2 linked regions of the Oryctolagus cuniculus genome follow. The protein of the gene in region 2 interacts with the protein of the main gene of each other region in a biochemical or structural test. Links are inferred from orthologs where the notes say so. Each region holds a gene or a part of one and is shown on either strand. Other genes may lie near its edges.

The links. The genes of interacting proteins can lie anywhere in the genome.
Region 1: the proteins of DLG1 (region 2) and KCNJ4 form a complex in vitro, tested with the Homo sapiens proteins (2 studies listed by BioGRID and IntAct, with this or other methods). The link is inferred for Oryctolagus cuniculus from reciprocal best matches to the Homo sapiens genes DLG1 and KCNJ4.

The regions. Positions count from the first base shown.
Region 1 is NC_091442.1:115,108,533-115,112,802, forward strand, and holds the start of KCNJ4 (inward rectifier potassium channel 4), read right to left. Parts: upstream 2,813-4,270; 5' UTR 1,877-2,812; intron 1-1,876. UniProt on the Homo sapiens protein: Inward rectifier potassium channels are characterized by a greater tendency to allow potassium to flow into the cell rather than out of it.
Region 2 is NC_091435.1:83,512,894-83,516,451, forward strand, and holds part of DLG1 (disks large homolog 1), read right to left. Parts: intron 1,856-3,558; coding exon 1,764-1,855; intron 847-1,763; coding exon 740-846; 3' UTR 1-739. UniProt on the Homo sapiens protein: Essential multidomain scaffolding protein required for normal development. Recruits channels, receptors and signaling molecules to discrete plasma membrane domains in polarized cells.

The sequences.
Region 1 (4,270 bases), on a different chromosome or scaffold from region 2:
ACCCCTCCCTCCACTCGGGCCCCCAGCTCCTCCCCGGCCCACCGGGTCTCCGGGCCTCCCTTCCTGTCTGGGGGAAGCCGGCGGGCTGCTGCAGGGACCCTCCAGCCAGCGCTGCCCCGCACCCGCACCCCCCAACACGCGCTCCGGCTCCGTTTCCCACCGCCGCTAGTTTCCTGGTTACCATGTTGCTGGTTGTCATGTCGCGTCCCTGTCCTCGTGACTCAGTAGTCCCCGCAGAGGGGCCCCTCCTCCTCACACCCCCCTTGGCACTCGCCCCCGCCTCCCCCAGATCCACATTAAGAAGCAGCCGCCCTGTGAGCCCACACGGCTCCTGCCCCCTCCCGCTTAGCCTAAAGCACAGAAATCTTTTCGCAGCATCTCCCAGGGCTGCTTCGCCCAGAGTTCCCGCACACATCCGCGAAGATGCTGCCAGCCTGCGGCCTCGTGCGCGCAGCTCGAAGTCCGTCCAGGTCCAGTTCCCCAGGCTCAGAGAGGTCAAGCCAGCTGCCCAAGGACAGCCAGCAGAAACCCTAACCCAGCTCTGAGTCACCTCGGACAGCTCCACCTTCTCGGGAGAGGACCCTTTTCAAGGGGAACCCAAGGGTCCACGAGGTACGGCTCCCAAGCCACAGGTCCCTCTGATTCCTGGACACTCCTGTCCTAGGGCAGTGTCCCTTCACCCTGCCCCTGGCCACGAGCTGCTCGGCCCCTAAAGGAAAAAAATCCTTACTCCCACCCGCCCAGCCACTCCCCAGCCCAGCGCCCCCCAGTGGAGGGCAGTGGGGCGCGGAGCAATGACCCCATTCCACAGATTTGGAAGTTGAGAGTCAGGGAGGGAAGTGGCTCGCCCAGGGCACTCCATCTCAGCAGCTGAGCTCACTTCAGGAACCCGAATGCAGGGTATATGAGGCTCTCTGCCCAGTGTAGACAACCCCACAGAGGGCCCCCCCACACCTTGGAACAGAGTCGAATGTTCCAGACTCAGCCCTCCCGGCTCCAGCGTGGATGTGGATCCACCCAGGCAGGCTGACAGCCTCTGCTCGGGCCCCTCGCACCCCTCTTCCATTTGTTCCAGCCAGCGCAGGCCAGGCAGGGCCACCATGTGACTCCGGGGCCCCTCAGGCCCCCAAACCCTAGAGCCCTGGAGGGCACCGGACTGTATGTGTGGAGGAGGGGATGTCACACACACACACACACACACACGAACGGCTGCAGCCCCTCTGGGTTCCCCCCACCTGCTGCTGCCAACCCACTGCTCCGGAAGCCCTCCATGGTGAACTGAACCTGGGCGCCGGGCCCTGCAGCCTGGGCAGGGCACAGGAGTGTGGGTGGGGGCCCGTTCTGCAGGTGGGGGGAGTCTCACACCTCTCTTGCCTGCGTGACGGAAGCACCACTTCTCCCTCTGCCCAGCCTCGGTTCCCACCCTGTGAACTGTGGGTCCCTGCCCGTCTGCCCTGGAGTGGCCCGGCACACAGCAGGTGCTCAAACGTGCCAGGTGGGGGGAGGTGGGAAGGAGACACCCCCACCTCCACCCCCTTGCCCCAGTCACCTGCCTTGAAGCTCTGGGTCTGACAGTGGGGGTTGGGGAGGTGGGGGTGGGCGGAGGCGGGAAAGGGTCACTGGCCGGCCAGGAGGTCAGGGTCTCCTCCAGTCACCTCCCCAGCCGCCACCCAGACCGCCACGCTCTCGACGGACACGCGGACAGCCCGCTAGCTCCTGGGAAGTCACGGGACCGCGCCAAACGCGCGCCGGGACCCAGGTCAGGGACAAGTTGAAGAGCCGTGGGGGCCAGAGCGGCCGGGCTGGGACAGACAGACACGCACGCGGCAGGACAGACGGACGGACAGCGGCCGCGGAGGGCGCGCGCCCGGCTTACCCCGGGGTTGAGGGTCCGACGGTGTCCGGGCGGCGGTGAGCGGGCGCTACATCCCACGGCGTCCGCGCGGGCAGCGGGGAGTCCCGGCGCGGCTCCCCGCGGACGCGGCCGACCGGCCCGCGCCCTCCCCGGCTGCGGTCGGTCCGTGCGTGGGTCTCGGGACCTCCGCGCCGTCCTGCGCCGCTCCCCGCGGGCCACCCAACTTTCAGCGCTGCCCCGCGCCGCGCCCTCGGCGCAGCCGGGGCGTCAGCATCATCCGGCCCCGGGTGCGGGCTCAAAGCGCGGGGCTCCGGGGGCGCCCGGCCCCGCCGCCGCGCCTCGGCCGCCCCCGCCGAGAGCTCTGTCGGTCACCGGGTCCCGCTGGCGCGCGCTGCCCGCTCCGCCGCCGGCCTGGGGTCACCCTCCCGCTCCCGCCGCGGGCTCGGCCGCCCCCTGCCGCTGCTGCTCCCGGCTTCGCTCCGGCTGCGCGGGGGTCTCTGCCCTCTCGCGGCGCCGCCCGCCTCCCGCGCTCTGCCCGCGAGGTCCGGGTCTCCGTCTCCCCCGCGCCCCCGCCTCTGCCGCGCCTGTCTCCCCCGCGCGTCTCCAGCGTCCCCTCCGCGCCCCGCGCCCGGCGCTCTCCCCCGCCCCGCTCCGCCGCCGCGTCCCCGGCTCTCCTGGAGCCCGAGCTCCCGGCCCGCGGCGCGCCGAGAACTCCCAACTCGCCGCCTGCCGCCCGCTTTGCGAGACTTTCGCCCCTCCTCACACGTGACCCGCGCCCCGCTGCGGAGGCCACGCGCCCGGCCCGGAGCCCCGGCGGCCCGCGGGGCCCGACCCGGCCCGGCTCGCTCAGTCTACGCGGGCATGCAACCCGCTCCCGCGGGGCCTGCGGCGCCGGCCGGGGGCAGGGGCTGGGGGGCTGCGTGCCCCGCTCCTGCCCGAGATCCTGCGCGGGTTTTCCTCCTCGCCCCGGGAGCGCTCCTCCCAGAAGCCGCTCCGAGAATCCGCTCCCGGGTTTTGTAGCCCCCCCAGGGGCAGGTGGGGAGGGTTCCTCCGAGCCTGGAGCGGGTGGGTGGGAGCCGGCCAGTCTGGAGTCCCGTGGGCCCGGCCCCCTCCTCTTGGCGCTCCCCGTTCCGTCCCAAAGACCGGACAGTGAGGAGCCCTGCGCACCTCCTCTGGGAGGTCGGGCAGCCCTCCTGGAGGGACCCTCACCACCGTCTCGGCAGCGCCAGGGCCGGGAGAGTGACAACCAGCGGGTCAGAGCTCCCAAGGTCACCCAGACGTGGCCAAACGCCAGGCCCGTGTCGTCTGCGGTCCCCCCAAACCCGTCTTACTCAGCGGTCTTCGTAAAGGAGGGTCCACACCCTGCCACCCGGCCCCACTGCCAGCGAGCCGGTCCGGCTCCCCAGGCACTCCGGGGACCCTCCAGCCGCTCCTTTCAGGAGCCGGGCCAGAGTCCTGCTCCCCCCAGGGTGGCAGAGAGAGGACCCCTGGGGGTAGACAGCCAGGAGAGCCGCCCTGGCGCCCCAGAGCAGACAGGGAGACTGGGGTGGCTAGCGGAGAGCTGGCTGGCTCTGAAATGCAGTCTGGCTTCTACTCCAAGCTGAAGCCCAGGGGGGAGTCCAGCACAGGTCACACGGAGCACCAGGGTCGTGACCTTTCCCTTCCCCCACCCCAGAGGACCCAGCCCCAAGCCCTGCCGGCTGCATGCCCACACGGACACCCTGGTCCCCACAGCTCCCAGAGCCAGGGGCCCACACGCGCAGGGACCCCCACCGCCTTCCCCTGAGAACCCCTGCTCTTCTCCAAGCCCAGCCCCGTGCCCCTTCCCAGAGAGGCCCTCCCGATGCCCTCAGAGAGGTCATTCACTGCGTGCCAGGCCCCAGGCTGGGCATGGGCATGGCTCTGGCTTGGTGAGCTTAGCAGACAGGCCAGCCTGGGCTCCAAAGGACCTCTGCGTGACCTTGAGAGAGACTTGACTGGACCTGTCTGCAAAATGGGGGCCCTCCCCTCCCCCTCCTGCAGAGGCAGGTTAATGTGCAGCTCATAGTAAGTGCTTAGCAAACGTGCTGTCCCTTCTCCGCGCAGGCGTCCACAGGGCTCCTCTGGTCCCGCGCCTGTCACAGGCAGACACCAGGGGGGCCTGATGCTGCCACATCATGCTGCTCCTGGGTGAGCAGATGGGAGGGGGGCTCCAGCAACCTGACGTGCGCTCCTAGCACACCTTCCCGTGGTTTGCGGGCAGGCCGATGCGCCGAGGCAGATGACCTGTGGAGGAGGGGGAGAGTGGAACAGGGCGTTGTCTCACGGGCTCAGTCCTCCGCTGCTTGGTCACTGGGCAGGAGTCGGGGCTGGGCGGAGGGATGCTCACCTTGCTGGCTACCCTGGGGGCAGCTGCTCAGTCCTGTGGCCATGGAC
Region 2 (3,558 bases):
GAAAACGTGATGATTGTTATATGTGAACAACTTTTGTAAGACACTAAAAATAGTGTTGCACAAGTAGATTAAAAATGTTTGAATATTGTTATTTCTAATAAATGTACTGGGAAAAAACCCTCGAACAACAAAACTTTGAGAACACTTATGAAAAATGAATATCCCTTGTGAAGTTATGAAAGTTAACTCAGACATTAATTTTGAAATAAAAAAACCACATTTTTTTTCTTATGTCTATAGGGAAATAACTGCTCTGATAACAGAAGTCAACTGGGAAAAGAACTTGATAGCTAACACATTGGCCAAACCATGCTATTAAAGTTAAGCGTGCATAGTTGCTCAAAGTCTATGAAATCACTGATTAAAACCACTTTTCTTTCATTTATATTGAAATTTGAAAAGAATGTATATAAAGCTTTTCTGAAAATCTCTTAAAGTTACTTTCCCTTAAACATTAAGGAATTTTACCACAATTTCCACATCTCCCAAAACCCTTAATAGCTGGTCAGGCCATTTCATCTTCAGTTTTAAAAAATGGCCACAAACCAACAGTGACATAGAAAAATGCAGATGGTGCAACCTGAAGGAGACTATTTGTCAAAATTAAGTGCAACTGCAGACCATGAGGAGTGGACATGATTCAACAGGAAAGGAGCACTGAAGACAGACTCCAGAGGAAAGGCAAAGAAGTGTCGAAGAACACGAGACTGTGGAAAGAGAAGCCGAGCAACACCAGTCTTCATAACTTTTCTTTGGCTGGAACCCAGATGTAAGGACCAGACTGTTCTTCTATGATCTGCTTTACTTGGTTGTAAATGTCTTCCAGCGTATCTCCCTGTACAATAGCTGTAACGACAGATAAAATTAGAACTTCTGTTAATCGTCTCTCTTTGCCATAACAATTATTGGTGAAACAGAGCCAAATCTCGGTAACAGTTACTCATCCGGGAAGTCACCATTTATGTATTACTTACTTAGTAAAAATTGTTCATTTCATTAATTTTTCTGTTGTATAACATAAAAATATTTTTATTAAATATTTATTTATTTGAAAGGTAGAGTTAAGGGGGGGGAGGGGAAAAGAGAGAGAGAGCATGAACGTGAGAACTTCTCATTTGGCTGCAATGGCTGGGACTGGGTCAAGCGGAAGCTAGGAACTTCATCTGGGTCTTCCATACAGATGCAGGAGCCCAAGCACTTAGGCCATCTTCTTTTGCCTTCCCAGGGTAGCAGGGAGTCGGACTGGAAGTGAAGCAGCCAGGACTTGAACTGGCACCCATATGTGATACCAGTGTTGCAGGCAGTTTAATTTGCTACACAATGCTGGCCAGATGTGTATATTTGAATGTGGTAATCAATTCACAATGTATACATATATCAAATCATACTGTACTTTGGACATATACATATTTGTCAATTATACCTCAATAAAGCTGGAAAAAATGACTTAAAATTTAGAAAGGATAAAAGCAGAGTTTCAGAAAAGAAAATCAACCTAAATTATTTTTTCTTTGGTGAAGTATGACTTTTCCTGTACATGCTGTCCTAGTTAACAACGTCTTAAACACTAAATTTCAATATTTCCCACCACTACTGCTCTGGCTAAATGAATTTCCCACAGCACAGAAGCACAGACCACACAGGTTTAATCTGAAAATGACAGCACTAGGAGATGTGGGCACAGTTCAAATCCATTTGGGTTAGTTTATGTGGCTGCCAAGCAAAATGCTGCCATAGAGGGCACTGTCCTATATGGTTCTGACCTGTGAAATGTTCAGTAAACTCTTGTTCCAGTTTCATGGCTCTCTCAAAAGTTTTTCTGGCTTGTTCTTCTGTTAGACGCTTATTCATTTCCCTAAAGCAAACAAATTTAGAAATTGGTATTTAACACATAATATTTGAAAAAAGACAACAAAGGAGAAAAGACTGTTAAAATACTAATATCACTAAAAACAGATTCATCCACTGAATATGCTGCTTCATACTTGGGATGACAGAAGGGTTTCACATATTCTGCACTGATCAAAGCAGTGAAACAAAATTAAGCACTAACTTATGAGTTTTGACTATAATGACAATTTCATATTAAAATTATTTACCTACCAATTTATAAAAAATAAAGGGAACACAGGAACATATTAAACAGCTCCATGAGAAAGCAGTTAAAAAATACAGCTCTGGGAAAACTGCAGAAATGACTTGATTTCTTTTTTTTAAAGTTTTATTTATTTGAAAGGCAGAGTTACAGGGATGGCGGTGAAGGGATGGGGGAAGGGAGAGGGAGGAAAGGGAGGGAGAGAGAGAAAGCCATCTTGCTGGTTTTCTCTCCAAGTGGCTGCAACTGCCAGGGCTGAGCCAGGCCAAAGCCAGAAGCCAGGAGCTTCATCCCAGTCTCCCACATGAGTGACAGGATTCAAGTACTTGGATCACCTTCCACTGCTTTTCCCAGGTACATGAGTAGGGAGCTGGATCGAAGTGGGGCAGCTGGGACATGAACCAGTAACCATATGAGATGCTGGCATCACAGGCCATGGCTTTCCCCACTGTACCACAATGCTGGCCCCAACCTGATTTCTTTAGAAGATAAATAGGGTTGGAGGGGAAAGAAAGAACAGCCCTTTTTGGAATTTGCTAATAACAAATAAATTTAAAAAATACACACAAAACTTAGAGACCATCAGGAAATTTTGAGCCATCTGATGATACCAAGGAAATATTGTTAAATATTTTAAATATGACAATTATAGTCATACTTAAATATTTTAAATTATTGTCATTCAAATACACACTATGGGTAAAATGTTATAATGTCTAGCATTTGTTTCAAAATAATCTGGAGTGCAGGGGTAAGTAGGTGGGGATAGAGGAAACAAGACTGATCCTAAATTGGCAATTATTATTACAGCAAGATGATGGGTGATGGGTGTTTGTTCTCAACTTATGAGGAACTATTTTCAGTATTTCACCAAGTATGACGCTTACTTTGATATTTCGTAGAGTTACTGTCTAGCATCCCTTTGCCTCACCCTACAGGATTCCCCTATTTCTTTCTTTTTTAAAGATTTATTTTGGGGCCAGAGCTATGGGCACAGCAGGTTAAAGCTCTGGCCTGAAGCGCCAGCATCCCATATGGGACTGGTTCTAGTCCTGACTGCTCCTCTTCTGATCCAGCTCTTTGCTATGGCCTGGGATAGCAGAAGATGGCCCAAGTCTTTGGGTCCCTGCACCCATGTGGGAGACCTGGAAAAAGATCCTGGTTTCCACCTTGCTCAGCCCTGATCGTTGGGGTCACCTGGGGAGTGAACCAGAAGATGGAAGACCTTCTCTCTGTCTCTACCTCTTTCTCTGTAACTCTTCAAATAAATAAAGTAGATCTTTAAAAAATGATTTATTTTATTTATTTGAAAGGCAGAGTTACAGAGAGAGAGGTCTTCCATCTGCTGGTTCACTCCCTGAATGGCCCCAACGACCAGGGCTGGGCAAGGTGGAAGCCAGGAGCCAGGAGCTTCATGTGGGTCTCCCACCTGAGTGCAGGGGCCCAATCCATCCTCCGCTGCT